Linked DNA regions of Elephas maximus indicus. The protein of the gene in region 2 purifies or fractionates together with the protein of the main gene of each other region. This does not show direct contact. Links are inferred from orthologs where the notes say so. Each region holds a gene or a part of one and is shown on either strand. Other genes may lie near its edges.

Region 1 (6,854 bases), on a different chromosome or scaffold from region 2:
GGCCCAGACCCCTTGTTTGGACACTGATAACCTCCTGGAATGGCCCTCCCCCACCCACAGGGCTGGTAAAGGTCTAGGTGTTGGGAGGTCCCCTTCCAGCAAGAGAGTTGGAGCCCAGGCCCCAGGGATACCAGGATCCCACATTTCCCTATACTCTCCGAGGCTCAGGGCCACCCTCGATGCTGCCACAGTGCCACCTGGTGGTCCCTAGGGGAATGTCATCCCAGCACAGGAAGAAGCCACTCATGATTTGCAAAAAAACTCATGCTATTTTATTTCAACCTTTATCCAAAAATATAAAAAGGGGTAAAAATGCGTAGTCCTGAGCTTCAACTACTGACCTCCAATCTTCATGGGAAGGTGGGTGGGAGAGAGGGTCAGAAGTCCCAAATTCCTCCCACCCCTAGAGAAAAGGAAAGCCCCAGACATGGCTAGGTCTACAACAGGACCCTAAGTAAAATGGGCCCCCTTTTCTCCTAGCACCAACCCAAGCACCCACCACCCCCTGCCCCAAACCCCCCTCTTCAACAGAGAAGAAACATTTCAAATTCTTGAGACTTGTCCAGGAACATGGTGCATGGCACAAGTCACAGGCTGCTAGCTGACCTGAGGAGAGCAGATAAGGGCTCAGCATCTAGACCCCTACCTGCTCCTCTTGCCTCCTCCCCAGCCCACACCTCCCTGCTCCGTCCCTGACTCACCAAGGTGGGCTAGGGCCTGCCCCCTTGCTTCTTGGCAGGCAAGACAGGGCACAACTCAGCTTCCTCCTCCTCACTGTCTTCTTCCTCGCTCTCCTCCTCCTCAGAAACATCATTGCTTATAGTAACTGGTAGACACACAAGCAATAAGGGGGACGGGAGGAAGGCTGAAGCCATTCCTCCTTCACACCACATCATTTATTGGGCAATTCTTAATTATAGGCCTTGTGGTGCTAGGCTTACAGGAACCCTGACCGCCCATAGCTTATAGTCTAGTTGGAATGAGTCTTAGCCACCAGTTGGGTGCCAAAGAGCTACAGGAGTACACATCAATGGAGCAGGAGAAGCTGGGCCAGGTTCCATGAAGGAGGTGGGCTTGAGCAGAAGAGTAGAGGATACATGATGCAAGGGGCATAGCCTAGGGAAGGGGAGCATGTAGGGTCTGTATAGAGACTGCACTGCGCAATGAAGTGGAAATGGGGCAGGAGTGTGGGGAGGCCTGGAGTGGACTGGAGGCAAAGGAGAAGGCCCTCCCCTCACTCTCACCAATCTGGTGCCGCCCAGTGATTCGCACAGGGCCAGAGCCTGACTTTAGGCGGAAGGTTACAGGTGGTTGGAGCTGGAAGTCATCGAGGCTGAGCTGGAGGAAGAAAACGATAAAGGCTTGACCCCTTCCAGTCCTCACCCTGTCTGGTAGTGAGTCCCAAAGCTTTCAATCTCCAGCCAACCCCCACTCCCACCCCCCCAGGCAGGGGTGGATTATCCAATAAGATAAGCACAGCACTTGCCTTGCTTACCAGATCATCTGTAGTGAACATACCACATGTGAAACTTTTCACTGTAGACTATTAAGTCAGCACAAGTAAGCCCGTGCTTACCTTGCTTGCTGGGTCATTCACCCCTGTCAGGGATTGCAAATTTAAAGAGAGGCTTTGATTCTCTAAGAAGGTGCTGTGGGGTTGAAAGAGAGACAGATGCCAGCCATATCTAGAAGCAAAATCACTGATGTGGTGAAAAATGTGAAATTATTCACTACAGATGATGTGCTAAGCATGATAAACACCATGCTTACTTTGCCTATTGGCTAGTTCGCCCCTGCCCCCAAGTATGGCTTAAGAACTCACCATGGGTTGGCAGGACAACTTCAAGTTTGCCACAGGGACTGCAATCTCCTGATGGTCGTGGTTTCGTGCTACAACTTCCACCACATTACATTCATCCTTGGCCCCCTCGGTGAGGCAGAGCTGGGAAAGGTACACAGGGCTTCTACGTCTTGCAAGGCTTGAGGTGGAGCCATCTGCCCTAGAACTTGCTCAAACTCAAAGGTGCCTGGATAACCTTGCCGACGGAGTTGCCCATGTGGGGGTGAAGCAGAGGAGGTGACTCCCAGTAAAGTGGAGGAGGGAGAGGCTTGCCTAAGCTGAGCTAGTCTTCGCTGTACCCGCCGCCCCCTACCTCCTGCCTTTCCCTCACCATGGTCAAGGCCAGCACGTGCTCGGCATCATCCTCTTCCTCTACCTTGAAGGTGAAGGAGCGGGTGCGCCCAGAGAGCTCACAACCTGGGAGAAAGAACAGTGGAAGTGTGCGCGTGGGGCGGGAACATTTCACCAAGCCCCCGTCACGTGCAACCATCGACTGACCGGCACGTTACACGCCCACCAAACGTCCCTTCTTAGAAACACCTGGGGCGCTCCCCACTGGGTTCAGGGCCCGCCGTCTTCTTCCGCTCGAGCGTCGGCGCGCGGGGCCCGCTGTCGTCAAGGTCGGCGACGGAGTCCCTCCATCCCCACCCACGTCGTGCACCCAAACGGATTCCTGTGCCTCATCCCCGCCGTTTACCTAGGCCGCCTCAGCTCCACCCCCATCCCTTCCTTTCCCCAATACCGAAGAAAAAACTGTCCATAGTGACTGGGGCCGGGACGCGCAGGCCTCCGATACCCCCCGCCCGGGCTCGGCTTTCCCGGCTCAGGAACGCTAAGGCGGCGGCGGCGGTGGCGGCGGCCATGCTGCAAGAACCTTCTTGAAACTCCGCCTCCGACACGTACAAAGCCAGTGACACACGGCCAGTTCCGGCCCCGCCTCTTAAAGGAGACTCCCAGACTGAGAATGGACCGAGGTGGGACCGGTGCCTGGCTTCCCGCCCAGGAGGCTTCTGCTCAGACCTGTGTCAAGACCGCAAAGAAAGGGCGTAACATTACAGAAGCATGGATTTGGGGTTACTGTTAACGTCCTTGCTTATTTCCACGATCAAGGCTCTGTGAAAGCATCTTCTGCCTCCCTTTTCTTCAGCCCCTTGTTGTTGGGTGCTGTCAAGTGGGTTCCGACTCATAGCGACCCTCTATCAAGCATGATGTCCTTCTCGAAGGACTGATCCCTCCTGACATATCCAAAGTACGTGAGACAAAGTCTCGCCATCCTTGCTTTCTAAAGAGCATTCTGGTTGTACTTCTTCCAATATTTGTTGATTCTTCTGGCTGTCGTATATTCACTATTCTTTGCCAACACCCTAATTTAAAGACATCAATGCTTCTTTCTTCCTTATTCATTGTCCAACTTTCGGTATGCATATGATGCAACTGAAAATACCACGGCTTGGGTCAAGCACACCTTAGTCCTCAAAGCGACACTTCTGCTTTTTAACACTTAAAGAGGTCTTTTGCAGATTTGCCCAATGCAATATGTCGTTTGATTTTTTGACTACTCCTAGCACCCTCTATAGTTGCCCACTCTTCCAACCCAGAGTAAGATTTGTTGAGGAACGGAGGTAAGCCTTTCCTACTCCCTTCCCTAGCATAGGCAGGTTTCAGGGCAGCCTGAGTTCTTACAAAAGGATATGCACTTAACAGCTTCATGCTTGGCGTAACTTTTGACCCAAGAGAAGCCAAGGAGCCTGAAGACTTTCCATTCCAGGTTATTTCCACTCAAACTCACCCCAACTCCTCCATCTTCCTAGCCTAAGCATCTCCAAGATACGCTTCCTGCCCAAATGACACCTTCCTGTAGCACACTTGCCTCCCTCAACTGTCTTCTTTGAGCATCATATGCTTGCCTTGCTAGTACAGCACAAGTTAGCTCAGATGTGGGACCCACTGCTTGCTCTGACAGAACCACCCTTTACACCGTCTTTGAATTTGATTCCAAAATAGCCCAAGCACATCCTTCCTCCTTGGATTCTTCCCAACCTCACACAATTTGGGTTACTCCCCCCACCCGACCCTATCTTTCACCTTTTGAGCAAGAATCAGGCGAATTCTGCATTCCCTACCCTATTAGATGGCAGATAATCTTTCAAACTAGCTTTCCTATTTTACACCCAGGTTACAACTGTGGCAAGAGGTGACTTGGCCAGGAACTGGTCTGCTTTTTTAGGCTTGTGCCCCTGCCTTGATGATAATCTGGAAGGAAACCCTTTAGACAGGCAGCAGTGGGGAAAACTGCCTTCAAGATCTAGGCCCAAACTTCAAACAGCTGTGGAAATAAGTAATGCCTGCTTGTAGGCAAGGTGTGAAGGACCTGAAAAAAGGTAGGAGGCAGAAACAGGAACATGATTCACACAACACAACACTACACACGTTTACTTCAAGTTTTATTTTGCCTCTTGCATGGTCTTCAGATAGTTTTACAGTTTGTTTGCTACAGAAACCGAGATGTGCTCTGAACAATAAAGTGTCATTCCAACCTTAGTAAAAACGCATAACCATGGAAGATGTCAGCATAGCACTTTTACTATCCTACAGTGATGAAGGTTTAGGCCTGGACATCTGTTTCACAGTTCAGCATCTGTGACCAGAATACTGGCCAAAATGATTATTGAAAGCCAAGATAAAGCCAAAGCAAACTTGATAAAAATCCTGATTCCACAGGAGGCTGACCCTAAAATCCTCCAGATAAAATGCTAGTGTTGTCCACTAGTGTATGAAATACACTCAAAAGGAAAACTGAGTGATATTCAGCTGTTGGAAACAATATCTAGCAGGTATATTCCCCTTTCACTTCCTCTCAGCCCTCAAAAAAGCAAACTTGGTTCTTGCTTTCCAACATACCTTATCTTTCTATTAGGTAAAGGTTTCTACTCTGAAAATGAAGAGGACTCCTTCCTTCCCTTCCCTTCCCTTCTCACCCATTTAATGCACTCTCATGCCTTGGTTGAAGTCAAACTTGGTATAAAACTTTAAGACTCTCTCAAAGCCCACACTGATGGGAGTTCTATGAAGGAAAATATTTCACTTTTCCTTCTTCTTGCCCCTCCTGCCTCACTCAGCTCAAAGCTGAACAGCTGATGCAAAACTGTAGGGAAGCAAAATAACATAATGCTTTCACGAATCTATGAAGAAGTCAGCCAGCCATGATGAAAAAATGATTCCCGTGGAGATTACCTGCCAGCCTCATGCTCAGGCCCCTTAAAAACATCAAGTCCAAATTAAAATACATGAAGCTTTCAGAATTGGTGGTTAAAGAGGGGGAAAAAAAAAGTAACCATAAAGCATTGGTTAAAATGTACTCATTCTTTCTTTTAAAAATTAGATACAAACATGCAAGAATTAAAGACTCTGATTTAATAAAACCAGTACTAACAGGTCCTGAAATTAAAGGACAACTGATCTGAAGGAAATGAGACCAATTAGTCCCTGAACCCTACTTGACAGGTGTCAAAACTAACATTTCACATGCTGACCTGCTATTGTTAATTTCCCAAAGTGACTGTACTCTGCAACAGACTGAGTCCTACTTACAGAAGTTAGGCTCTCGTACCCCAAATGGTCATAGCCTAGCCCTAGGTGGGAGGCACTTTAAAAATAAAAAAACTTCTTCAAAAAAAAAAAACAAAAAAACCACAAAGATAGAAGCAAATCCATTTTCCACTATGATTTACATTATTCAAAGTGCCATCCTGAACTAACACCTTCTCATTTTTTAAAGAAAAAAAAAAAAAATTACAAAAACAGTAAACACAAGAATAATCAGGTTACAGCTAGTTTATATACAAAGAAATTTACAAGTTTGTCATTTTGAGGCTTTTGCCACAACTGCACATTTGTCCCTACAAAGCACAACATGCCTAAACCAAAGGTCGCTACAGGAGACAACTGGCTACGGCTTTACAAAAAGCAAAAAAACTGCCCAAAACTGAAATCATTTATTCAGCTTAAACTAATGCCACAACCATCCCACTTTGGAATCTCCACCCTGAAGCCTCCAAAACCCATTAAATCTTTCTCATCTCTGCCATGTCCCCAAAGAATGAAACATTTCATTCAATAAACCAAAGAAGATGACAGAAATGATTTTGATTACTCTTAGGTGAGAAATGCAACCACACTGGATTCAGAACACAGTGCTGACTACATTTATTGAAGACCCCTTCGCTATAAGCCCATGTAAGAGGTCTTGGCACCTAACGTAAGACCCAAAAAGGAGGCCCACACCTGTTTCATACAGGGTTTGCAGCAATACTACCTTCTTCCAACCAGTGAGTATTCTGAATGTGTGATGGATCAGTTTTACATAGTCTTCTTTGTTTCCTATCCAATTAGCTGATCTGTTGCCACTCCATAAGCTGAACTGTATGAAGACCCCAACCACCACCCACCAGGTAGTTAGGAGACTTTGGACAGTTCACAATGCCAATAAACGTCACAGGCTCCGGCCAAGTATAACCACATCCTTTGGAAAGCCTTCCATTTTTGCAATTTCAAAGCAGCCTAACTTGCTGTAAAATTCCAGAATTCTTTTATCATCTGGTCTCACTTCACAGAAAGCCCCCCGAGAGCCTAGAAATAGAACAAATATTCAAAACGTAAATAAGTCACTTAATTAGTAGAACTGTGGGTATGAATTGGGATTAATCTTTCCGGTGCAGTGGTTAAGTGCTTAGCTGCTAACCAAAATGTTGGCGGATCCAATCTACCAGCTGTTCCACAGGACAAAGATGTGGCAATCTGTTTCCGTAAACATCTACAGCCTTGAAAACCCTATGGAGCAGTTCTACTCTGTCCTATAGGGTCACTGAGTCGGGATTTGAGTCGACAGCAATGGGTCAGTGGGTTTAACATTCAATAGTGACTGAATCTCTTCCCCAGAAAAAAAATCTCTCAGGGAAGAGGGTGTAAGAAATTTCAAGGCAAAGAACACCTCAGTTCAAAACATATAAAGGTG
Region 2 (7,582 bases):
GCTGCTTTGCCCGGGGTGGCTCCCTTCTTGCCAGGTGTCGCTACTGCTTTGGCTGGTGTAACTGTCTTCTTGGCCGGCGTGGCTGCTGCTTTTTTGCCAGGGGTGACAGCTGCTTTCTTGGCCGGTGGGGCAGCTACCACCTTTTTTGTTGGGGAAACCACCACCTTCTTGGACGGTACCGCGGGATTCTTCTTGCCTTTTTTCTGAGGAATGATGACCTGAAGAAGAAAATTTAAGAAATCCTCTGGTACTGCCTCTAGTTTAAGATGACATGCATTAAAGCACTCATGAAAGTCTAGGGGCACACAGTATGCCCCTCTATTTACCTGAGAAATTACAACCCTCATCTTTCAATTTAGATAAAATACAGCTTTTAAACCCTGAAAACACAAGAATCCAGATCTCTGCATCTCATACTTTTATCCCAATTAACTGCTCCAGTTTTGCAGCTGTACAGCCTAAGAGAGTACCAACTCTGAAATCAGAGCTGGAATAGATCCCATCCATCAGAAGCTGTGCAGCCTTGGACAAATTTTAAAAAATATTAAGCATCAACTTCCTCATCTAAAAACTATAATATCAAACTTAAATGTTGTTCTAAAAATGAAATGAATCGATAGCTAAATTACTTACAGCCCTGTACACAAAAAGTTGTAAATATTTAAGTGCTATTATCTCCTTTGAGGATCCTGCAACGGTCAGTGTACGTACAGAGATCACTGAAAGCTCAGTTCTTCAAATAAGAGATTAAAAGCTCAACAGTAAGTAGGCTGGACAGTCAACCTTGGCAAAATTACCAAAGAACATGCATATCAACTGCCAGTAAACTGACGCTGTGCATGTTAAAAACGCTGGAAAGGTGAATACTGTTGCGTATATTAAAAACGTTGGGAGGGAGCAAGCTATTTTTTGATTATTAGTTTTATCACGTAGCGTGTGGGAAGAATAAAACCCTCTATAAATCTTAAAAGAAAAAAATCTGAGCACGAGCCCAATGGTTAGCTGTCCTTACAGTGAACAAAGAGTGGGCAGGAGTGTTAAAGAGGGTCAGCACTAAGACAAGTGGCAACCCTGAACACATACAGACAATAACACAATGCGATTGTTACAAAGCTTCTCCACAGTGAAATACAGATCAATTGATCCTGCTTAGAAGCTAGTCAAGAGATGTGATAAGGCTACAAGATGGACTCCTCAGACCTGAATATGATACTCAGTTCTGCCCACTGTCCAGGCTGTGGCCTTATTTAACGTATGCAGCTAAAATGTTAAAACTAGAAAAATGTAATTATTAAACACATCACACCTACCCCAAGAAAGGGCCAGCAAAAAGGCATCTGAGATCTTGTCAGGTCTCAAACTCATACTCAAATACTTACCCAAACTGCATCTTGATATGTCAAAGAAAAGCTTGGGAGACAACCATCATACAAGGCCACGTATGAATTAATATAAACCTTCAGTTTTGGTAGTATTTTCAAACACCTAACACCACCTCCCTGATTTTGTTTTAATGTCATTCCGTGTCAAATCACATATAATTACCTCTTCTCCACTGCTGTCTTCTTCTTCTTCTTCTTCATCTTCTGACATTTCCTCATCCTCACTATCTTCTTCTACCTCCTTAGGGGGAGGAGCCATTTTCTTGGGGTCACCTTGATTTTTACCGGCCTAAAATGGACACAACTATTAGCACACCACATTTGCACCAGTATTTCAAGCCATTTATGTTTTGCCATTAGTCTACGTAGTAAAATGCAGTTCTTTCTTCCTCAGAATCCAGTTTCCATGCCGCTAAATACCATTAACATGCAAACTAGTCTTAATATACAACTTAAGACAGCATTTTCAACCTACCTGTATTTTTCCTGTCAGTCTGTACAGCTACAAAATCAAGCCTAGAATAACAGGTCAAAAAAACGATCTCCCTCTTCCTGTCGCCTTTCCGAACCACGGCTGTTTTAAAAACATTATCCCCTAACTATTAAATATTGCTCTGAGTGTTTTTTAATATACAATACCTTGCGCCAGGCCCACTGCGCAACCAACAATTCATAATCCTTTACCCTTGGGAAACTACCCTCGAAAAGCCTTTGATAAATTCTGGGCACGTGGTCCGAATTCAAATTAAAAACCACGATCTTTCAGTCACCTTTTAACACTTGTGGTCTTTTTAACAGTGTTCCCTTCCCGGAGAAACCCCCCAACTTTCAGAGCCCAGCGGGCCACGTGGGGGTGTCTCCCAGGCCACCATGTGCACGCAGAAACACGCGGAGGCGGCGTCTCCATCCGGGGCTCACCACGTGCCAGCTCGCCGCGCGGGGACCCCGTAGGCCGCCGGACGTCTGCCTTAACCCCACCCCGCCGCTGCCCCCGGCCCGCGGCCCCACGGCTCTCCGCTAGAACACGGCCCTCTCCGGAGCCGCAGGGACCCACGCGGCGCGGCCCACGTGGCAGGCCGCGCGCCGGGGCACGTGCGTCAGGAGGCGGGGCCAGCTCGCGCGCGTCGCGGGCTCCGGCCTCACCCCTCCACCCGGGGCCCCGCGCCCCTTCCCGCGCGCAGCCCCGAAGTCTCTCTCCGCCGTGCCCACCGCCCCCTGCACCTGCAGGCGCTCTTCACCGCGTCTCCATGTCGCCAAAACCCGCGAGACCCGCCCGCTTCTCGCGCGAGACTTCCGTCAGCATGGCGAACCTCGAACGCGCCCGGGACGGCGCGCAGGCCCTCCTCCTCGCGGCGCCGCGCGCGCGCTCCTCGGGAAGCAGGCCCCGACGCCCGGCCTTGCGCCTGCAAGGCCGCTTACCTTCGCGAGCTTCACCATGATGGCGGCTTGTGACGACGGAGTGTGTGGAGAGTGAGTGGCGCAGATGAGCCTAGAAGAACCCAAGCGACGTCGATGGCGGCCGCGAGTGCTGAAGAGCCTGGAGCGCGCACGCTTCGCTGCCAGCTAGGGCTCGAGACTGAGGCAAAAGACGGAGCCTACCCAGTAATCGCCTCTGGAAAGGCGACGACGGCGCCCTCGTGACCCCGCCTTGGCCAATCAGAGCGCGCGTCCATCCCGCGAGCCAATCGCGAGCCCCTCCCCGAGAACGGCGCGGGGCGGGAGTGGGCGGGCCAAGGCGGCGGGGGATGGGAGGGAGGCTTGGTGTCGGCACCTGGGGGCGGGCTTGGCTTTGTGCGAAGCCTGCGCTGATTGGGCGGTGGCTGCGCGGCCCCGGGTGCTCCTGCGCTGCCTGCCTTATGGCGCCTGCGCCGTAAGACGGACATTTTGGCGCCGGGTGGGCCCGGGCTTGGGGCGGGCGGGGGCTGGCGGTCTGCAGCTCCCGAATGAGCCCTATCGCCTCGGGCGGCCTTTGCGGGTCCTGCGGTGCCCCACGCGCGGCTCTGGTCCGCACTCCACGCTGAGACTCCCGGCGGCCGTGGGGAGGATTTCGGCCCATTTAACTGCTGATGAGCCCGAGCCCGCCCAAAGTTTAGGGACCAGGGTTCACTTTGCCCCTTTCGGTGCCCACCTTAGCCCCGTCCATCCACGAACCAGGGACCAGAAACATCTCCCTGGGCACAGGTGACACGCTCCCAGGCCGTGGGCCTGAAGCTGTCCCCTGAGAACTGTTAATAAAGAGGCTTACCGTGTTCAGGCTCTGCTGATAAGCGCACAGACATCTCATTTAATCCCACAGCCTCATGCGGTAGGTATTTCCCTCCCCACGGGGATCAGACTCGTAAGCTTCTGGCCGTCTCAGGGTTTACCGCTGGGATCGGCAGATGAACCTGGGTCAGCAGACTGCAGCTGGGTCTTTGACCACCTCAGAAGTTCCCCCCTTGTTATTTGGGGCTAATACCAGTACCATGGCGACCCCACGTGTGTCAGCGTAGCACAGTGCTCCACAGGGTTTTTAATGGCTGATTTTTCAGTAGTACATTAAAAAAAAAAAAAAAAATTTTTTTTTTTTTTTTTTTTTATAGTACATTGCCAGGTCTTAATTCCAAGGCGTCTCTAGATGGTCTCAAACCTCCAAGCTTTTAGTTAGTAACCGTTTGCACCACCCATAAACCGGTAGACCGTGCGTTGACTCATGGCGACCCCACTGGGCTCCGTAGGGTTTTCAGTGGCTGGTTTTTCTAGATTGCCAGGCCTTTCTTCCCAGATGCCTCTAGGTGGACTTCAAGCGCCATTAAAATGTTACAGATGGGTGGCCCTTGGCACTAGATGGCCCAGGAGTAGATGAAAGCCGAAGGAAAAGTTACCTCTATGGCGGAAGCACAGAAAATTGTCTTTGTACAGTGATTTTGCCAATTATTTGAGTGGGTTACTTTGTGGGTGAAAATTTATAGTTGGTGCCAAATTTAACAAACCACAGCACTTGGCTTTAGTTTAGAACCTTCCCAGGATCTATCCTGGGCCTCTGGTACCTAAATGTTCCTAATCTGGACACCTTCAGCCTTGATGCTGTTTCCCACACGGAACTGATACGAAAGTTCACCCTTGGAAGATGGATAGTTGTGATGGTTCGCAACATGCTGGATGTAGTTAATGTCACCGAATTCTACACATGGAAATAGTTTCAATGGCAAACTTTTTATTATATATATTTTACCACAACAAAATTATAAAGAAAGAATCTCCCCTGGGATGCTATAATTCAAGAGGGATGCTATAATTCAAGAGGTCTAGGTTAGGGCCCTGGGTTTTGAATTTTAACAAGGGCCCATGGGGATTCTTGTGAGCAATCAAGTTATTTTGCAGTTTTTTCTGGCACACTTCTGAAACCCAGTGAATAGGAAACTCTCTGGGCTCTCTGGTGTGGGCAAGGGGCTGGGGCCAGGTCTGTACCCTGGACTCTGATGGCCTGTGGAGACCCCCTGAGGATAGTCACACTCAGGTCTCTAGGGAAGAGGGCAAATAGGTTACTAAGTGGCCGCCCAGGCAAAAAGAACAGCATGAGCCAAGGCATAAGACTTTTTAATGAGACCCTCGGTGTTTCCAGTGATTTTGACACAGAGGACACTTGGCACTTGTGGGAAGAGGTTCTAGAGATTAAGGGGGCATGACCAAGTGACAAGGACAAATTCTAGAAATATGGCATGGCTGGCTCCTTGTCATTCAGATCTGTTTATATGTCCTCCCTAGAGGCCTTCCGCTGGCCTCCAGTGTAAAGTTGTTGTTAGCCAACTCATGGCGACCTAAGCACAATGGAATGAAATACTGCCCAGCTCTTTGCCATCCGCATGATACGTTGCGGATCAGATCCCAATGTAAAGTCCCACTCAGAAACTCACATCACCCCTACTGAATCCTTTGCAGGTACTTATTGCTATGTGATATTTTTCTTGTCTGCTTACTGTCTGTCTCCACCCCCACATTAGAATACATATATTGTTCTCTACTGTATTCCTGGTGCCCAGAACATTGCCTGGCACGCAATAATGTTGAAAATTACTTGTTAAATGAATGACGGAATTGAACTACAGGTAGTCCCCAACTTATGACAGGGTTCCATTCTGACTGCTACTCCCCTCGTAAGTCGGTTCTGGCATAAGTCGAACACTTCATTTTTTTTTTTTTTTTTAGTTTTCATTATTATTGCCTTTTATTATCAGTATCTTTATAAATCTCATCTTTATTTGTCTTTGGGATTTGGAAACATTACATCTGAGAATATCAGCAAATTATATGCTGCCACATTTTATGTAGTATATATTAATAACAATACATGCACACAGCCTGTTGCTGTCGAGTTGATGCCGACTCATAGCTACCCCGTAGAAGAGTAGAACTGCCCCATAGGGTTTCCAAGAACTGGCTGGTGGATTTGAATCACCAGGGCTCCTAATAACAATATTTTCTTAATAACAATAAGATATACAAAAAAAAAAAGTGTAAAGCCTGTGTAAGTTTCACTGTAACGCAAATATATCGTAAGTTGGGGACTACTTGTATTTAGGTAGAATAAGCAGCAGAGAGAGCCAGTATAGCTTACGGTGGGTTCAAGTGTGTTACTTTGAGTCTCACAGTCCAGGGTAGAAAAATAGTAATACTGAGTACTTACTACATACGGAAACCCTGATGGCGTAGTGGTTAAGAGCTATGGCCGCTAACCAAAAGGTCGGCAGTTTGAATCCACCAGGTGCTCCTTAGAAACAGTATAGGGCAGTTCTCTGTTCTGTAGGGTCACTAGGAGTTGGAATCGACTCAACGGTACATTCGTATACATGCGTACTTATATATATGTATTTAAAAAAAAAAAAGTTGCCATAAAGCAGATTCTGAGTCATGACGACCCCATGTGTTGCAAACTAGAAATGTGCATAGGGTTTTTAATGGCTGTGTCCTTTTGAAAGTAGATTGCCAGGCCTTTCTTCCCAGGTGCCTCTGGGTGGATTCAAACTGCCCATTTTCCAGTTAGCAGCCAAGGACTCAACAGTTTGCCCCGCCCAGGGACTCCAGAGTACTTACATAGTAAAACCTGTGAAAGCCAGAACCTGTGTGAGGCAGAAACTTGTCAGAGAAGGAAAACTCAAATATTGTCCACTAAGAGAGCAATGAAAAAGTGGTAAGATTGCACCATGTCTGTCTTAGTCATCTGGTGCTGCTATAACATGAATACCACAAGTGAATGGTTTTAACAAAGAGAAATTTATTCTCTCACTGTCTAACAGGCTACAAATCCAAATTCAGGGTGTCAGCTCCAAAGGAAGCCTTTCTCTCTGTGTTCGTTCTGGAGGAAGGTCCTTCTTGTCAATCCTCCCCTGGACTAGGAACTTCTCTGCACAGGAACACCAGGTCCAAAGAAGCACTCTGCTCCCGGTGCTTCTTTCTTGGTGTTATGACATCCTCTCCCCCCCATCTTCTGGCGTCCCTTTCCTTTTTATCTCTTGAAAGATAAAAGGTGGTGCAGACCACACCCCTGGGAAACTCCCTTTACCTTGGATCAAGGATGTGACCTAGTAAGGTGTTACAATCTCACTCTAATCCCCTTTAACATAAAATTACAATCACAAAATGGAGGACAACCACAGAATATTGGGAATCATGGCATAACCAAGTTGACACATATATTGGGGGGACACAATTCAATCCTTGATACTGTCAAAGGGGGAAAACTTGGGAGACCCTGAAAACCAAGGCAGTGCTGTGGAGTTCTAGCTCTCACAGGTCTTACTGTATAGTGCTGGCTAAGTGCCCAGTGCTCTTCCAGTGCTCTATATGCTAACTCATTTAATCTTTGAAACAACCTTTGAAAAAGGGGTAGCCATCATCAGTGCCCATGGAAGCAGCAGTCAAGAAATGAAACAACATGTTGCATTGGGCAAATCTGTGGCAAAAGATCTTTTCACCAAAATCTTAAAAAGTAAAGATGTCATTTTGACAACTAAGGTGGGCCTGACCCAAGCCATGACCTTTTCAATCGCCTCACATGCATGTGAAAACTGAACAATGAAAAAGGAAGACCAAAGAAAAATTGACAGATTTGACTTGTGTTGGTGAAGAATATTGAAGATATAATGGACTGCCAGAAGAACAAACAAATCCATCTTGGAAGAGGTACAGCCAGAGTGCTCCTTCGAAGCAAGGATGGTGAG
Region 3 (7,931 bases), on a different chromosome or scaffold from region 2:
ACAGACCTGGCCCTGAAGCTGGGTGGGTTCTGGGGCGGATGGGAGACTGCCCGTGCACCCCATGGTCCAGCTCCTGCCAACTCCTGGAGTCTGGTGTGACTGCCCAGGGAATACCTGGGCTGGCCTGACTCCTGCCCAGCCACAGGACCAAGTCCACACAGAGGCTCAGCACCTCTCCGAGCAAGGCCTCTGAAGACTGACACTACGGGCACTCTGGGAAGGGCCCATGCCCTGGGGACCACAGCGTCCCCACTCTCCTGTCAGGGCACAACATTTAAGGAGGTGCTCACTCTGATGGCCCAGCAAATGCAGGTCGGTCTTGTGAGTTATTCTCACTAGGCCTCTAGTTCCCGTCCCGTGTCACACAAGGGAGCACTGCGCCTGCCTGCCAGCACCTCTGGGCAGAGCGGGAGAACGCTTCCAGCACAGGCACGAACATCAGCCTCCCTGAGGCCTTTGGGGGCTGGGCTCTGGGTGACAGAATCTGCAGGGTCCTGGACTGGGGCTGAGCTGAAAGAGGGGCTGCAGGGCTTTGGTGGGTGTCCTCAGATGTTGCAGGATGGGAACATCCCCTCCTTTCTAGGGCCAGGTAGCCCGCAGTCCTCTCTCTGCCAGAGCTGGGTTTTGGGGCTCACTGTCACCACCAGCCCCATTGTGTCCTGCACTGACCCCAGCCACTCAGGCTGCGTGCTAACCAGGGAGAACCACACGCCTGCACCCTGGCTGGCTCCCGCCCCATCGATGGGATCACAGATGGCTGTGATACAAGAGCAAAGCCTCTCTGGGGACCCTGCCCAGGCTTATGCCTGGTGGACGATGGCCGCAAACCCAGCCAAGTACAATGCTCCAGGCAAAGGCCTTTCCCAGAACACACAGAGGGTCCCGGAAGAGAGTGTGCTGGCCCAGAGGCCTGAGATGTGGTGCCTCACAGCCTCTGCAACCTCTAGGATCAGCCCCCTAATACCCCTCCCCCTCCTGTGAGCTAAGGGGAATGAGCAAGAGGTGGGAGGAGAGGGTCAGGGAGAAAGAAGCACTGGGTCATCTTGTCTGGCCAGGAAGGGTTGAGGTCTAGATGGAAGGGATGGCGGAAACATGAAGAGAGCATGCGGGGGAAGCCCACTGCCTCTTCCAGGGACCTGTACCTGGCATTAAAGAAATGGTGGTAGGGGATGGGGGGGTGGGTGGGTGGGGTAGGGGATACCCACACAGGAGATGGCAGGGAGCAGAGGCAAAAATTTCTCAGAAAAGCGCTTTGAGGGAGTGCAGGGTGAGTGCTCTACCCTTCTCTTTATCCCCAAATGCCCTCTGACAAGGCAGAGCTTCAGCCCAGACTTCTCTTCATTCCTACTGGCTCAAGGAGGAGTCCTCGGGTGGTGCAAATGGCTAAGACATTCACCTGCTAAGCAAAAGGTCAGAGGTTCAAGTCTGCCCAGATATACCTCAGCAGAAAGGCCTGGCAATCTACTTCAGAAAAATCAGCCACAGAAAACCATTTGGAGCACAGTTCTAGTCTGACACACATGGAGTCACTGGCAGTCGGAATCACTTGATGGCAACTAAGCTTAAGCAACTGGCCTACAAAAGGGCCATAGTTGCAGTCTGAGAAATTCCAATGTGTGAGCTCACAGGAAGTCTAAGTATGGCTGGAAGCACCCAGCCCTAACATGGTGTCTCCAAAAGTGCATTCCTTCAGGCCACCAATCACATCCCAGCCCTGAGCTGGGTCTGTGGCCCTCATCAGACACACTGTCACAGCCAGGATGTGAACAGCCATCTGAACGCCAACTCCAGACATAATCACGGATTAACTCCTACAAACCAGAGCTGTCGGGTACTTCAGGGTCAGGTCGCGTAAACAAGCCTGCTGCCGGGCAACGGACTACAAGGACGTGAACAGAGATGCCCCACCAGGAACGAAAAACAAAACTGCTCTAAGGAAACCCACTTCTGGGATCCGGAAACGCACAGGAGATCAGCTTGAGTTTATGACGTTTTACTTTCTGTTTTCATCCCCTTTCCTCTCCACTAGAGCAGCGCCCTGCGATTCATGTGCCAAGTTCTGATTTGCCTCTGAGTAACACCACCGCAGTAACACGTTGGAGATAAAAATCACCACTTTGGCACAATGTTCGTTAGAGAAACTGGACGTTTGGTCTAAGGACAGTACATCTCCACGCTTGTCCAACACTTAGCAAAGGAGCAAAGAACGAGAAGGTCCAGCCTTCCCTTCCCGTCCCGGAGAATCTTCAGCCGGTCAGCAGCTGAACGAGGAGGAGGCTGAGGACAGCAGCGTTGCTAGAGGCTGCCACCTCACCTGCTGAAAATCCCTGAAACCAAGTCGGGGTGTGGGAAGAGCAGGGCCGTTACCCCCAGGACCCTAAACATGCTTCAAAGCGGACCGAGTCTTGGAATTCCCTTTCCTACGGGGCAAACTCGAGACCTGCAGGCCTTGGAACCGAGCGGGGAGGCGTCCCCTGAAAACTTCGCGCCCCCACGGCGGTGGCTGGCTGGCTGGCTCCCCGCCCCGCCCACGGGGGGTGAGAGGCGGGAACCTGGCCCCCGCCTTCCCGGGCTCCCACCGGGACTCGCGGGCGGCCCTCGCCCCTCCCGGAGCGGCCTCCCTCCCACGGCGGGGCAGGACCCGCCCTCCCGCCGCCCGGCGGGCTCCCTCCCCGCCCTCCGACAGGCCGGCGGCCCCCTCACCGGGCTCCAGCAGATGAGCGCGTCGGTGTCCGGGTCGCTCACGAGGGTCCACAGCTTGGTCAGGAAGGCCGGGACGTTGCTGGGCCCTGCCGCGCCGGGGCCCACGGGCAGATCCATTTCGGACAAGGCAGGGAGAGGCAGAGACAGCGGCCGCGAGCAGAGGCCGAGGAACGGGCTAGCGCCGTCGCTGCACCCGCAGCCAGCGCCGCGCCGCCGCAGCCTCCCGCTGCGCACACACAGCCCCGGGGCCTACCATGGCCGCCGCCATCTTGGGACGGGCGCGCTCCCGCTGGCGCCGCCCGGCGGCCTGCGTCCCCACCGGCGCGCGCGCGCTCCCGGCTCTGGGCCCCTTCCCGGCCGCCACGCGCCTGCGCGGGATGGCTCTGCCCCGCCCCCCGCCACCGTTCACCAATCAACGCAGGCGGGGCGGGGCGGGCCGGCCGCGCCCTCTGACCCCGCTGCCACGCCCCGCAGGCGCACGCGGCGGGTCGCTGCCGGAAGCGGCTGTTTAAGCAGAGCAGGCTCACCGGAGGATGGCGGGCGCGCGGGGCGCGCGACGTGGGGCGGCTACGCAGTCGCGGCCCGGGAAGCGGCCCGCGGAGCCAGACCCGGAGCCCGAGCGGGAGTCGGAGCGGGAGCAGGAGGAGGTGACAGCGGGCGCGGGCCGGGGCGGCGGGCGCTGGGGCCGGGGCGGCGGCGGGCGGGCGAGGCCGAGCCCACGCGGCCGCACGTGCGGGGCGCCCCGAGGCTGCTGGGCGCATCCTCCGTGGCTGTGGCAGCGACACATCGCGCGGTGGCTGGGCGGAGAGGAGGCGTCAGAGTTGGCGAGGCTTCGGAGGTGAAGGTCGGGGATGGGGTTTCCTTTAACCGAAAGGGTATCGGTGCCGGGCTGCTGTTTGCAGGGGACCGCTCCAGGCGTGCCCAGGGCGGGTAGGATGGGACAGCCGCCTCCCTAAGCAACCTGGGGTTCGGCATTAATTTCACAGGCGGCGCAGGCGTTCCCGCCCTAGTGTCGGGTGGCATCCTAGTGGAGGCCTGTTGTTGATGGCTGTTCAAGCAAACCTCGCCGGCACGCAGCTAGGAGAGCCCACTCGAAGTGTGTGTCGGGCTGGAGCTGAGAGCGAGGATTGAGTCGCGTGGGGGAACTAGGAATCTAGGAAAGGTGCCGTGGGAATCGGGCCTTGCCTTCTAGTGGAGGCGGCGGCAGGGGAGGGGTCCAGGCAGAGGTGTCTAGGCAGTCTGGAATCAGGGGCACTTCTGTGGGGTTGGAGAACAGTGTCTAAGGAGGAGCGAAATGGGAAGAGGGTGGGAATGGAGGGCAGGGCATCACCCTGTCATTAAGAACATTTGAACTACAAGGACCAGAGAGCAGTGCTGAGACTGCTTGTGCACCAACACCTCGTGGGATTTGGTTTCTTGGTTTGGAGGTTCATGGTTTCACGGCATATCCCAGGTCACTGTTCAGTGCTTCTGTACTATTGCCTGGCGCTCTGTGTAGTGCCTGATGTCTTAAAAGCTTGCACGCTGCCATCTGAGGCACAATTGGTCTCCATTCACCTGGAACAACAGAGGAAAAAGGAAATTCAGGAGTAGGAGGAAGATACGGAACGTGTGGCTAACTGCCCCCATGAACAACTGCCTCTTTTACCATGAGACCAGAAGAACTGGATGGTGCCCAGCTACCGTGAATGAATGTTTTGATGAAACATTTTGTGGAAGAATCCTGATAAAAGGGGGGAAATGCAGAACAGAATTTCAGATTCTCATGGAATCCAGACTTCCTGGAGTCACAGAGGGTGCCCTGAGATCATCTTTAAACCTTAAATAAAAAATATTCTCTGAAGTCTTCTTAACACGAAACAGTAGTTTAGCTTAGCCAGTAAAGAATGTCTGCCTTGAGCATTATGGTCTTTTTAGCACTGTTTATATGGGACCACAGTGGCGACAGCAACTGGAGAATTAGATTGGAACCTTAGGGAGCAGTGAGAATGTGTTAATGAGGAGTAACCACTCAGAAAAGGGGGGTGAGAATAGTTGCACAACTCAAAGGGAATCATCATTGCTAAATTGTACTTGTAGAGCTGTTGGATTGGTGTGTTTTGCTGTGTACGTTCTCAACAAGAACCAATAAATGAAAACTTAAAGAACACTTGAGCTTGCTCCTCCAATATACGCTTAATTATGCAGTACTTGTTTGTATTATGAGGCTAATATGTTAGATATATTACAGCAAGGAGAAAAGGATGTTAGAACGCAGAAATGTAACTAGAGCCCAGTGGACAGTCTGCCTTTGAGCCTCTTGCATTGGACACGTTGTTTTAACTGAACCCACTTAGCACTGCTGGTTCTGCTTCCCAGCTCAATCCTGCTTGGTTGGGGGTTTCGTCACATCTGGAGCACAGAGGCACATCCGCTGGATCCTCTCACAGCTGACACCACTTAGCTGGATTGGTGGGAGCTGTCCCTCCTCTTTGTGAGATAAATTCACCTACACCGCCTCTGCTGCTGCCCACCCCTCATCCCCAGCAGGCAGTGCTCCACTCTGGTCGTGGCTGCGGCCATCACTTGGGCTGGGCACTCATCAAGAGTTTCTGTCGTGTTTGTTTCCAAACCAGCTTATGCCATTTCTACTTGCTTTTGTGATGTGTAGCTATCAAAACGTCAGAGATATAGTGTGAGCGTATGAGAGGGTCATATCTGTGAAAACAAAGTTTGATGCTAGAAACAGCTGGTGAGCATAGGCAAAGATGAAGTTGAGTGCTAGGGACCGCTGATAAACACAGGCTGTCCAATTAGGCGAGATGGTTGTGAAATGTTGAAGAAGGTGGGAATCCAGAATTCTGCATTCAGTTTGCTTCCTAAGCGCCTTTGCGTCCTTGTCCTTTGGTAAAGGCCACGCCAGGATCGCCCACTGTGCCTCCTCAGTCTCAGACTTTGGCCCAGAGAGCCAGGCCCTACACTGCATCACGTTTATGAATGACTTTAACCAACATTGTCAGTTTACTGATTGACTGGCTGTCCCAATCTCATGCGATGAGGAGGCTTTTGCTTCGGGTAGTAAAAGTCCCTCGTGGATTCTAATTCTCTGCTGTCCCCAGCCCCTTTCCTAGTAGTGCTCTCATGGCTCTGGGGACCTCGAATATCAGGGTGAGGCATGGGGGGTTTCAGTTGGCATGGAAAGCCGGTTTTGGGAAGGCAGTGAGAACTAAACTCTAAGAAGAGGATGGTGTCCTTGAAAAGTCTCTGTGTCTTGTGAGATACTGGGAAGTAAAACGCCCATTCAAGGGTGAACGGCGATGCTGTCAGTGGAGGTGGAAGATGGGAAAGGTCTGGGTTGGGCTGGATGGCTTGGGTGGAGGTGGAGGGTTGCTGCTGCTCAGAGCTGTGGTGGCGCCTGGAGGAGCCGGTCTCTGCTGTGCCTCCCTGTTCAGCACAGGGCCTGTGGGCAAGCAGGTGGGCAGGCAGGTGGGCAGGCAGCTCCAGCTGAACCAACACTCTCCTTCCCTGCAGCCCTCTTTCTGCAGCCCTGCTCCTAGTCACATCGATACCAGTGACTCTGGCCTCTCTAACAGCGAGGAGAGCGTGTTCTCCGGCCTAGAAGATTCTGGCAGTGACAACGACAGTGAGGATGGGGCCAACAGTGATGAAGGTCATGTCGGGACGGGGAAGACCATTGAGAAGCAGTCACAGGTGGGTGGGCAGGGCCTCCTGTGGGCCTCCCCAGAAGCCAGGCAACCAGGAGCAAGCAGTGCCTGCCAGGCCTGGGGCTCACCAAGAGGCTGTGCCTTTCTCCACAGCTCCCTCGGGAACCCCGTGGGCACCCCTTCCTCAGTGCCCCTGGGGCACCTTTAGTGCCAAGTGCAGCCACCTGTTTGTAGCTGGGGTAGCTGGGCTCCAGAACACTGGTTCCAGCCACAGTGGGTGTCAGTCACTGGGGAAAAACTATGTCACCCCCACAGGACAAGGGTGAACTCTCCTGGCCCAGCCAGACTTTAGCTTAGCAGAGCCTGGGGTGAGGCCCGTGTCCCAGCCCAGGGTACTTATGAGGAGTAGGTGGAGCACCTGGGCGACGGAAGAGAGCACGGAGCCTGGCTGACCCATGGGAGCCCTGCGGGGACCGGGGCCGGGTACTGTGATGATGGGGAAGGTTGATCCCTGCTCTTGATTTAAGGAAAGTGGGAGAAAAGCTTAATTTAACAAAATACAAACTGACTATGTTAAAAAGTTCTAGAAACTAGTTTACACCAGTTTGTACTTCAAACAGCCCTGGTGTTCTGGTATTCGTGACTTTGACTTACACAGAAGTCTACTCCTGTAAGAGCACCAAGAATGCTGTGGTTGTTTCAACTGGGTTTGATTTGTTTGGTAAGGAAGACGAGATGGAGCCACAGTTCACGTCCTCAGCATCTGCCATTTGGGACCTGCACTGACCCTGGTGCGAATGGCCGCGGGGCACGTCATCCCCGTTGGGAAGGGCCACATGCACTGTGCCTGTTTTGGCTTGTAGGATCATGGGAAACTTTCCCTCTCTTCTCAAAAGTACAAAATCTGCCCTCTCTGAAGAAAAGTCTGATGATATGTCAGCATGTTCAGTAATGAGTGTGTGTTCCCTTGCAGTGCCCTTGGCCCCAGGTGGTGAGTACAGCTGTCTCAGTCACCTAGTGCTGCTGTAACCGTGGGTAGCTCTAACAAATTTATTTTCTCATAGGCTGGAGTCTGAATTCAGGGTTCTGGTTCTAGGGGAAGGCTTTCTCTCCTTGTCTCCTTGAGCTTCTGCTCCTTTGTTTTCTTCTATTTCTCAAAAGAGATTGACTCAAGATACACTCTAAATTAATCCTGTCTCGTTAACATAGACAACCCATTCCCCAATGGGATTATAACCACAGGCATACCCCGGAAAAAACCAAAGCCTTTGCCGTTGAGTCAATTTCAACTCATAGAGGTTAGGATTTACAACACGGTATTTTTTGTGGACAGGACGTAATTCAGTCCATAACAATAGTTAATAGTTTTTGATTTCCAAGTCTCCCCGCTTTTTAAGTGAAGAAATCCACCTGTTTAGATTTAAGTTGTTTTCCTTTCACTGGATTCTCTAAAACAGGTGACGTGTCTGGGTATCTCAGATGATATCGCAGTGAGGGTTGAGGGGGAGGGCAGGTCTCCTCCGCTGTGGGCCTGAGTGGTGACAGGAAGGGCTGCACAGGGCTACACGGAGCTTGAGCTGGGTG
Region 4 (7,599 bases), on a different chromosome or scaffold from region 2:
AAGTTTCAAGTACAAACTCCAGGCTGCAATGTGGTGCTAAACACATTCTATCTTGAAAATATCTCCACAGAAGCATGAACTAACTCACACAGATAAAAATCTCTAAGCTCAAAACACTAGAGAATCTGATAATCTAAATGGCCAGTTCGCAAAATCAAAATGCCCTCCACGTTTTCAGAGGACCACTTACTAGTATTAAAAATCCTTTTCAGGATTCAGCGTAATGAGCGTATCAAACCTGAGAATGGTCAAATCAGCTCTGACAAGGAATTCAATTTCCCAATCGTTACTCTGTATGAGTTATGAAAAACAGTGCAGGGCTCAAGGCTTGTAAGACAAAATGTAGAGCAGATGTGTTCAGATGCCATCTCGTGATACGCTCGTGGAGATAACCTGCTGACACTCCGCATCAGTAACACCGATCAACTAGGAAAAAACAGGCTGCAAACACCCTATGGCACAGGAACTACTGAACTCGGCAGGGCAACGCTCAAACAATTCATAAAATCGTACCATGAGAAGAGGCCTTAAGATTCTGGTGAAAATGCCCCCAGGCAAACTTGAGAAGGCTGCACTCCCTATACCTGTTTCATCTGTAAAACGAGTCCCTTTTTGTCACTATAATTCTATACAAGTTTAACTTTTGCAGTAGCGTTTTTACTGACCAAAAAGGTATTACTTTTAAGATTCTCTCAAATCTCAGAAAAATAGGGTAATTTACCTCCAAAAAATGAAAGTCTTTTTCTAGTCCCCAAACAAGGAAGCAGCTAATAAACTGAGGAAACTCATTTTCTAGGGCTTCTTTCTCTTCCCAACTCCACTTCAACAAGTGAGCTAGATAACTGATTTTTAAACCATCTCCCCGGTCTTTATTTTTAGTCACTCACTTAATCTTTGGAATATTTCCCTACTTTATCACCACTGTCCTTCCCTCCTTTGAAGTTCATTTTACATTTGCCTATCAGTTATTCCTCTAACAACTGCTAATCCCAATCTGAAATCTCCAGATTCTACCACGGGAAGCATTTCGTACTCTGTGGATCTTTCTGGAAAACAAGAACCAGCGCAAATCCTCATAATCCAGGCTTCAGTTAGGTTTAGCTCACCAATGGGGACCTAATTCTCCATTAAAACGCCTTTCCTTCCCTTTAGGAAAGCGGTACATCTGGGCAAAGTTAAAAATCGAAACTCAACAAACCCAGTGGAGGTATCCAGGTGAGATCAAACACAGCTTCTGGAGAAAAATTGCCTGGGTATTAATCCAAGGTCTCTCAACTTGGACAAGTCACTAAACCTAACCTCACTGGTTAATTGAACAGGAAAAAAAATAGAAGCCATCTTACAGGCCACTAGGAAATGAACTAACATGCAAAAGAGTGGAGAGCAGCCCCTGGCATATGATAAACACTAGTCATGAGAAGTTATCACTACGTCAAGGGCAGTAACTTTAAAATACCTCCTAAACAGCAGAGCTAAGAACTTACCCTGTGTACCCGTTCAGCTTTAATACAGAAGTTTCCACAAGCCTGTTTCTACACAGTACACTAAGTACAGGCAGATGAAAAGAGACTCCTAGGGCTGTGAAGCTGGGAAAGTGACTCGGCGTGGGTAGGTGACCCAAAGCCTGGCCAGATACGTCCTAAGCTACGTTGGATCACAGAGTCCTTTGAGATCGGGGAGAGAACGATGGACCTTCTTGCCAGACACATGAACATTCACCCACACATGTCAAGTGGCACAATTCGGGGGGTCTGAAGGTTTTGAATGCGGGAATGAAAATTTCTGACACTAAGCACCTCCGCCTCCCTTATCTCGATCAGACTTGCGATGCTACTGCCGAGTTAAGGAGAAGGATGGAAGGTGGAAGGAAGACCTCGTCCCAACCAGGCAATCCTTGGCTGCCGTGAACAGGAAGCACTCAATAAAAAAAGGAAGAGATTATTTAAAAAAAAAAAAAAGTTACTTAATCGGTAAAAACATACACCTGTGTAGTACTAACCCCCTTTGGGCAACGTCAGAGTCATTCCCAGACCCTCTGTGCACGGCAAGTGGAACCTTCCCATCCAGGGCGTCTAAGCCTTGCTCGACTCCTCCTCTTTTCCTCGGGAGGAAACATCTTCTCTCCTAAAGGATGGGTTCAACCCCTAAAGCAGACCTGACGCCTGCGATGCCGGGGTAACTGAAGCGCCACCGACCGTCCTCGGGGCACCCGCCTAAGGCGCCTGAGCCCGCGGCCTTCCCAGCAGAGCACGTGTTGCCCAGCACCCCGTTTCTGCCGCCCAGCACCCCGTTTCTGCCGCCCAGCTCCCCGCGGCAGCTGACCAACACCACCGAGATCTGCGCCTGTCGTCGAGCGGCCCCAGCCCACCAGGCGCTCGGAAACGAAGCTCCGCCGTTAGCCCGCCTCCAGCCACCCGGGCCCGGGCCGCACCAGCCCGCGGGGAAGCCCACGCTCGGGAAGCGAAGTCCCGAACGCGGCCTCTCGACCGCCGGGGAGCCTCGAGCCGCTGCCCGGCCCCGCCCGGCCTCGGGGCCGGCACGTGAGGCGGCCGCGCTGGCGGGAGATTTGACCGCACCAGCTCCGGGCGGGAAGCGGCCCCGAGGCCCTCACCTTCCCCAAGGGCACCGTCGGCGGAGCGGGAGCCGCGCGGCCACCGCGGACCCGGCCGGAGCCAGACGACCAGGCCGCTGACCTTCAGGGCCGGCGGCGGCGGGGGAGGGGAGGCCCGGCCCGCGGTCCCGGCGGCGCTCGGCCGCGGCCGCCTCCAGGCAGGAGGCCGCGGGCCCCGCCCCTGGCCCCGAGCCGCGCGGCCCCCACAGACGGCGCCCGCGGCCGGCCCGCCGCGCCCTTCTCCCGCCCGCCGCCCTGCCGGCTCCCGCCCCCGGCAGCACCGTTACCCGGCCAGGCCCGCACCCCGCGGCTCCACACCTCACGCCTTCTGCGGCAGTGGCGGCGGCTGCGGCGGCTCCTCTCGCTCCGGCTGCAGCGCCGCCGTGGCCGCCAATAACGCAGCGCCCCATTGGCCGAACCGCCACCCGGGCACCTCCCTCCAGAAGCAAGACGGGCTGCGATTGGGCCAGAGCTGCGCATGTCAACCGCACCTCGGCGAGGCCGAAGGAGACCAATCAGAGGCGGCAGAGCGGGCGCCGCGCTTGGACTGCGCGAGCCGTATGCAAATGAGACGCGTGACCGCGCCCCGGCCGCGCGCGGCGCTCCTCTCGCCGGTTTAAAGTGTCGGCGCCGCGGAGCACGTGGGCGGCTGGGGCGCCCCCGGGCCTCCACCTCCTCGGGCGGCTCCACCGGGCGTCCTGCTCCGCCCGTGCGCAGCCCGCGCTCCGACGCCTCTCCCGCCCCTTTCACGGGACTGGCACCGCCCCTCCCAGAAAACGGGATGGCGTCCACCCGTCACACGTGGTCCGCGCCCCGTGGGCCCGCGCCCTACCGCGCCGCCCTCCGCCGCCGCCATCCCTCGGATCTGCCGCCCACCCTGTCCCTCCCCACGTGTTTCCACCCGGCCTCCTAGCTCGTGATTCCGCCCCCTCCCCCGCGCCCCTGCTCGTGCAGCCCCTTCCTGTAGTCGCCTGGCTCATCCCGCCGTCAGAGCTCCGCAGGGGGCGTCCCCTTCCCCCGGGACCCTGTCTCATCACTCCATTCTTGGGGTCCAGTTACCGTTCAGGGCCCAGGCGACAGGTCACCTCCTGCGGGACCCCAGGCCGGGTGGAGGCCCATTCTGCACCTGCAACAGTGGGGACTGCCTACTTCGTGTTGGGGGTGGGGGGCGGTCTGCACCCCAACCCCTCTTGTGCTTTGGGCTCCTGGGCACAGCCTACCCCCCCCCGGGCACAGCCTGCCCCCCCAGGGCACAGCCTGCCCCCCCCCAGGGCACAGCCTGCCCCCCCCAGGGCACAGCCTGCCCCCCCCCAGGGCACAGCCTGCCCCCCCCAGGGCACAGCCTGCCCCCCCCCAGGGCACAGCCTGCCCCCCCCCCAGGGCACAGCCTGCCCCCCCCCCCAGGGCACAGCCTGCCCCCCCCCCCAGGGCACAGCCTACCAGAGCAAAGCGAGGTGGGCTCTCTGAGGGGCCCCTGGCGCTCCAGGAAGCTGTGGGGTATAGGTAGGGGTGACCCTCCTCACCTTGCCCTATCCAGTTCTCTCCAGCCTGTGGCTGGGTTGGGACTGGGGTCACGAACCCCACACTCTCAGAATCACAGTTTGTGGAGAAACACTGAGCTAAAACCAACGTGGGCAGGATGACGATGTGGTTGGAAAATGTAAGTCCCAGCTGCCAACTATTTGCTTGCGACTGGCTTATCTCCTCATCTCTGGGCTCTCCAGTGTGGCTGTGGGTCTTTAACTATTCTTGCCCATCTTTCCAGAAATTTTTCCTTGGGTGGGGTTGCTTTGGAAAAAAAAAAAAATGAATTTTTTTCCTCCTTTTTTTTCACCAAATCTTTCCTAACCTGTGCTGTTTACAACAGGGAAAAAGAAGAGACCCTGTAAAGGCTCTGAGTTGGGAGGTTGTTAAGGACATGATGTAGGTTAAAAACCTCAGAGTGACCAGCTCCTGCCTTTGGTGTGACCACACATGTGAGCTTGGCTCAGCTGTTCTGAGTGTTGGGGGTGGAGGGGGAGTGTCCCAATTCCTATCTGCCTTATTTGGATTTTCTGACTTGTCTGAAATAACCCTACTTTACTTTTTTGGGGAAAAAAAAGCATAAACAGCTGAGGAAACTACAAAAGAAAAGAACCTAAGCCTTTTCAAGTTTCCTTCTATTGAATAAAATTTCAAATCCATTTAAAGCCTTCAGGTCTGTCTGAGCCTGAATTTTGGGGGGAGGCGGTGGTGGGTGATGATCCCCAAAGAAGCCGTGAGGGCGTGGAGGCATCGAGGTGGTTAGAGCCACCTCGGAGCTGGCCCTCGGAGCCGGTGGGAGCCAGGGTAAGGGGGCTCACATGGGCAGCTGGGCCTGTTCCTTGGGGATTCTGTAAGTGGAGCAGCTGTGAGTAGGGGCTTCTCCCTGGGGTCACTCCAGAGGTTTGAAGCTCTCTGTTGTAGTGTCCTGTGCAGGCTGAGGCAGTTATAAAATGGGGGCACTGCCTACTTCACCACCCACCCATCTGTCAGTCTGTCATACTGTGGTGGCTTTCATGTTGCTGAGATGCTGGAAGCTATGCCACCAGGTGGGCAGGTTTCAGCGAAGTTGACAGAGTAAGACAGACCAGGAGGAAAGGCCTGGTGATCTACTTCTGAAAATTAGCCAATAAAAGCCTTATGGATCACAGCAGAATATTGTCCAATCCAGAGCTGGAAGATGAGCTCCTCGGCTGGGAGGCCCTCACGATACACAGTGGCTGCAGCAATGGACTCCAGCGTACCAGTGATCTTGAAGATGGCACAGGACCAGGCAATGTTTCAGTCTGTTGTGCGTGGGGGTACCATGAGTCAGAGCCGATCTGACAGCAACAACACTGAGCTTTGCGGGTGGGAGAGAGTTAGAACAACATTGAACCAGTGGTCAGTGTGATGGGGGTATGGGCTGTTGTCAGTATCTCGCCGCCTCTGTGGGTGGCCTGGAAAGAGGAAGTGAGAGAAGGGGGCTAAGCACCGAGAGCACAGGCTTGAGGTCAGGGCTACAGCCGGGTCTTTCTCTAAACCAGCTCCGAGGCCCTGCTCAAGCCAGTGCCATGTGACTCTCAGCCTGGATGGCGCCCCTCAAGCTCTCTGTTCAGGACCAGTGCTGTCCAGGGTTGACCTGTGCGGCAGGAGCAGAGACTACCAGGGCCTGCCCAGCCAAGGGCATTCCTGGAGCCAGAGGGGCAGAGCCCTGGGTGTGTTTGTGCCCTTGTGCTCCCTGGAGAGAGCAGACCAGCCCGGGTGGGGGTGGGAAGGTCTCGGTGTCCAGGCTGCAGGGGTCCATGCCCCCAGCCCTTGTGGGTTTGAAGGAAGGCCCCATGAGCCTGAGCATGCACCTTTTGGGATTATGAATGGTATCAACATTCTCTGAGCCCACATCGTCCCTTCCTCCTGCCACTGGGGTCCAGCTGGATGGCCATCTCCCCTCAGAGGCCCTCCCGGCCCCTCCCAGCTATGGCCACATCCCCCTGCCTGCTGCTTTCTTGGCCCCTGTTCACCGATGATTGCCCCTGCCCCACCACTAGCAGGAGAGCCTTGGCCAGCTTCCGGAGGAAGTGATGTTCTCGCTGACACTGAGAACCAGGAGGAGAGGCCCAGCAGGGCCAGGGAAGGCGCAGTGTTTAGGGCCAGGCACCTGTGGAGGCCTGGGGGGAGGGAGCAGCACAGTACACCCCAGGAAACACAGATAGCTCAGGGTGGTGTGTGTACCTAAAGAGAGCCCTCTGGGGAGCCCTCCAGGGAGGTGAGGCCAGAGCAGGTAGCAGGGACAGAGATTCACAGTGGGAAGGGGCAGGCAGAGTCTCAGCACCCTCCCCTGCAGGCAGGAATGAGATGCGGGTGCCCTGCTCCAGACCAGGATCAGAGTGGCTGTCAGCAGGATGCCCTGACACCACCCTGAGTCCTCCTGGCCTGGGTCTGGCACCTCTCAGTGGTCTTGGTCCTTCAGCAGTGTGATGGTTAAGATCATGTGTCAACTTGGCTGGGCCATGATTCTCAGTGTTTTGGCAGTCATGTAATGTTGTGATCACTTCCCCGTTGAGATTTGATATGTGGTCACCGCCATGATGGGATCTGCTGTGAATAGCTAATCAGTTGGAAGGGAGTTTTCTTGGGCGTGTGGCCTGCACTGAATATAAGCGAACATTCTGGCAGGGCTCAGGGTCTGCTTGCTCTGGATCCTGCGGCTGGGTCCTGTTCATCTGACCTCCGGTTCTTGGGACTTGAACAAGCAGCTTACCTGCAGTCTTGCCTCCCGATCCTGGGATTCATTGATGTTCCCGGCCTGTGAGCAAGAACCCTGCACTCTGATCTGCCAATCTTGGGTTCAACAGTCCCTGCGGCTACTTGGATCAGGAGACGTCTCTATCCTGACCTGCAGACTTGGGATGTTCCAGCCTCTACAACCCCGTGAGCCGTTTCCTTGATACAAATCTCTCTCTATGTATATTTATGCGCTTTACTGGTTTTGCTTCTCTAGAAAACCCAGCCTATGACAAGCAGAAACAGACATGAGAACCCAGGCATCGGCCTCACATGGAGCAGCCCTCTGGAACCTGCAAAGGACCTGTCTGTGTGGGTTGAACTGTGTCCCGCAGAAGAAACGTTGAAGTCCTAACCCTGCACCTGTAAATGTGACCATATTTGGAGAACAGGGTCTTTGCAGATGTGGTCCGTTAATGAGGTCATACCACAGTAGGGTGGGTCCTGGCCCTCTATGACTGGAGGGTCCTGAGAGAACAGACGTGGAGATAGGGTCACATACAGAAGGAAGACAGACGCCATGTGACGACGGAGGCAGATATATTCATAAGCTGCAAAAGATGCCAAAGATCACTGGCAGCCACCAGAAAATGGAGTGCCGTCTCCCTGGCCCATGGTCATCCATGGCCCTGTCCCAGGGGAGTCACTATGGGGCATAGGGGTGTAGACCACACCAGGTGACACTGTCAGAGGGGGTGACTCCA

The links.
Region 1: the proteins of NCL (region 2) and NPM3 fractionate together in Homo sapiens (co-fractionation; 4 studies listed by BioGRID and IntAct, with this or other methods). This does not show direct contact. The link is inferred for Elephas maximus indicus from reciprocal best matches to the Homo sapiens genes NCL and NPM3.
Region 3: the proteins of NCL (region 2) and HSF1 purify together in Homo sapiens (affinity purification with mass spectrometry; 3 studies listed by BioGRID, with this or other methods). This does not show direct contact. The link is inferred for Elephas maximus indicus from reciprocal best matches to the Homo sapiens genes NCL and HSF1.
Region 4: the proteins of NCL (region 2) and NAP1L4 fractionate together in Homo sapiens (co-fractionation; 3 studies listed by BioGRID). This does not show direct contact. The link is inferred for Elephas maximus indicus from reciprocal best matches to the Homo sapiens genes NCL and NAP1L4.

The regions. Positions count from the first base shown.
Region 1 is NC_064834.1:53,388,429-53,395,282, forward strand, and holds NPM3 (nucleoplasmin-3), read right to left. Parts: upstream 2,912-6,854; 5' UTR 2,704-2,911; coding exon 2,583-2,703; intron 2,258-2,582; coding exon 2,172-2,257; intron 1,943-2,171; coding exon 1,823-1,942; intron 1,339-1,822; coding exon 1,245-1,338; intron 827-1,244; coding exon 711-826; 3' UTR 702-710; intron 607-701; 3' UTR 510-606; downstream 1-509. Other genes in the region: OGA (protein O-GlcNAcase), read right to left, coding at 6,333-6,469. UniProt on the Homo sapiens protein: Plays a role in the regulation of diverse cellular processes such as ribosome biogenesis, chromatin remodeling or protein chaperoning. Modulates the histone chaperone function and the RNA-binding activity of nucleolar phosphoprotein B23/NPM.
Region 2 is NC_064824.1:133,752,391-133,759,972, forward strand, and holds the start of NCL (nucleolin), read right to left. Parts: upstream 3,002-7,582; 5' UTR 2,820-3,001; coding exon 2,802-2,819; intron 1,672-2,801; coding exon 1,546-1,671; intron 219-1,545; coding exon 1-218. UniProt on the Homo sapiens protein: Nucleolin is the major nucleolar protein of growing eukaryotic cells. It is found associated with intranucleolar chromatin and pre-ribosomal particles. It induces chromatin decondensation by binding to histone H1.
Region 3 is NC_064833.1:674,137-682,067, forward strand, and holds the start of HSF1 (heat shock factor protein 1), read right to left. Parts: upstream 3,009-7,931; 5' UTR 2,821-3,008; coding exon 2,704-2,820; intron 1-2,703. Other genes in the region: ribosome biogenesis protein BOP1, read left to right, coding at 3,237-3,350, 6,214-6,393. UniProt on the Homo sapiens protein: Functions as a stress-inducible and DNA-binding transcription factor that plays a central role in the transcriptional activation of the heat shock response (HSR), leading to the expression of a large class of molecular chaperones, heat shock proteins (HSPs), that protect cells from cellular insult damage.
Region 4 is NC_064825.1:134,919,637-134,927,235, reverse strand, and holds the start of NAP1L4 (nucleosome assembly protein 1-like 4), read right to left. Parts: upstream 3,011-7,599; 5' UTR 2,899-3,010; intron 1-2,898. UniProt on the Homo sapiens protein: Acts as a histone chaperone in nucleosome assembly.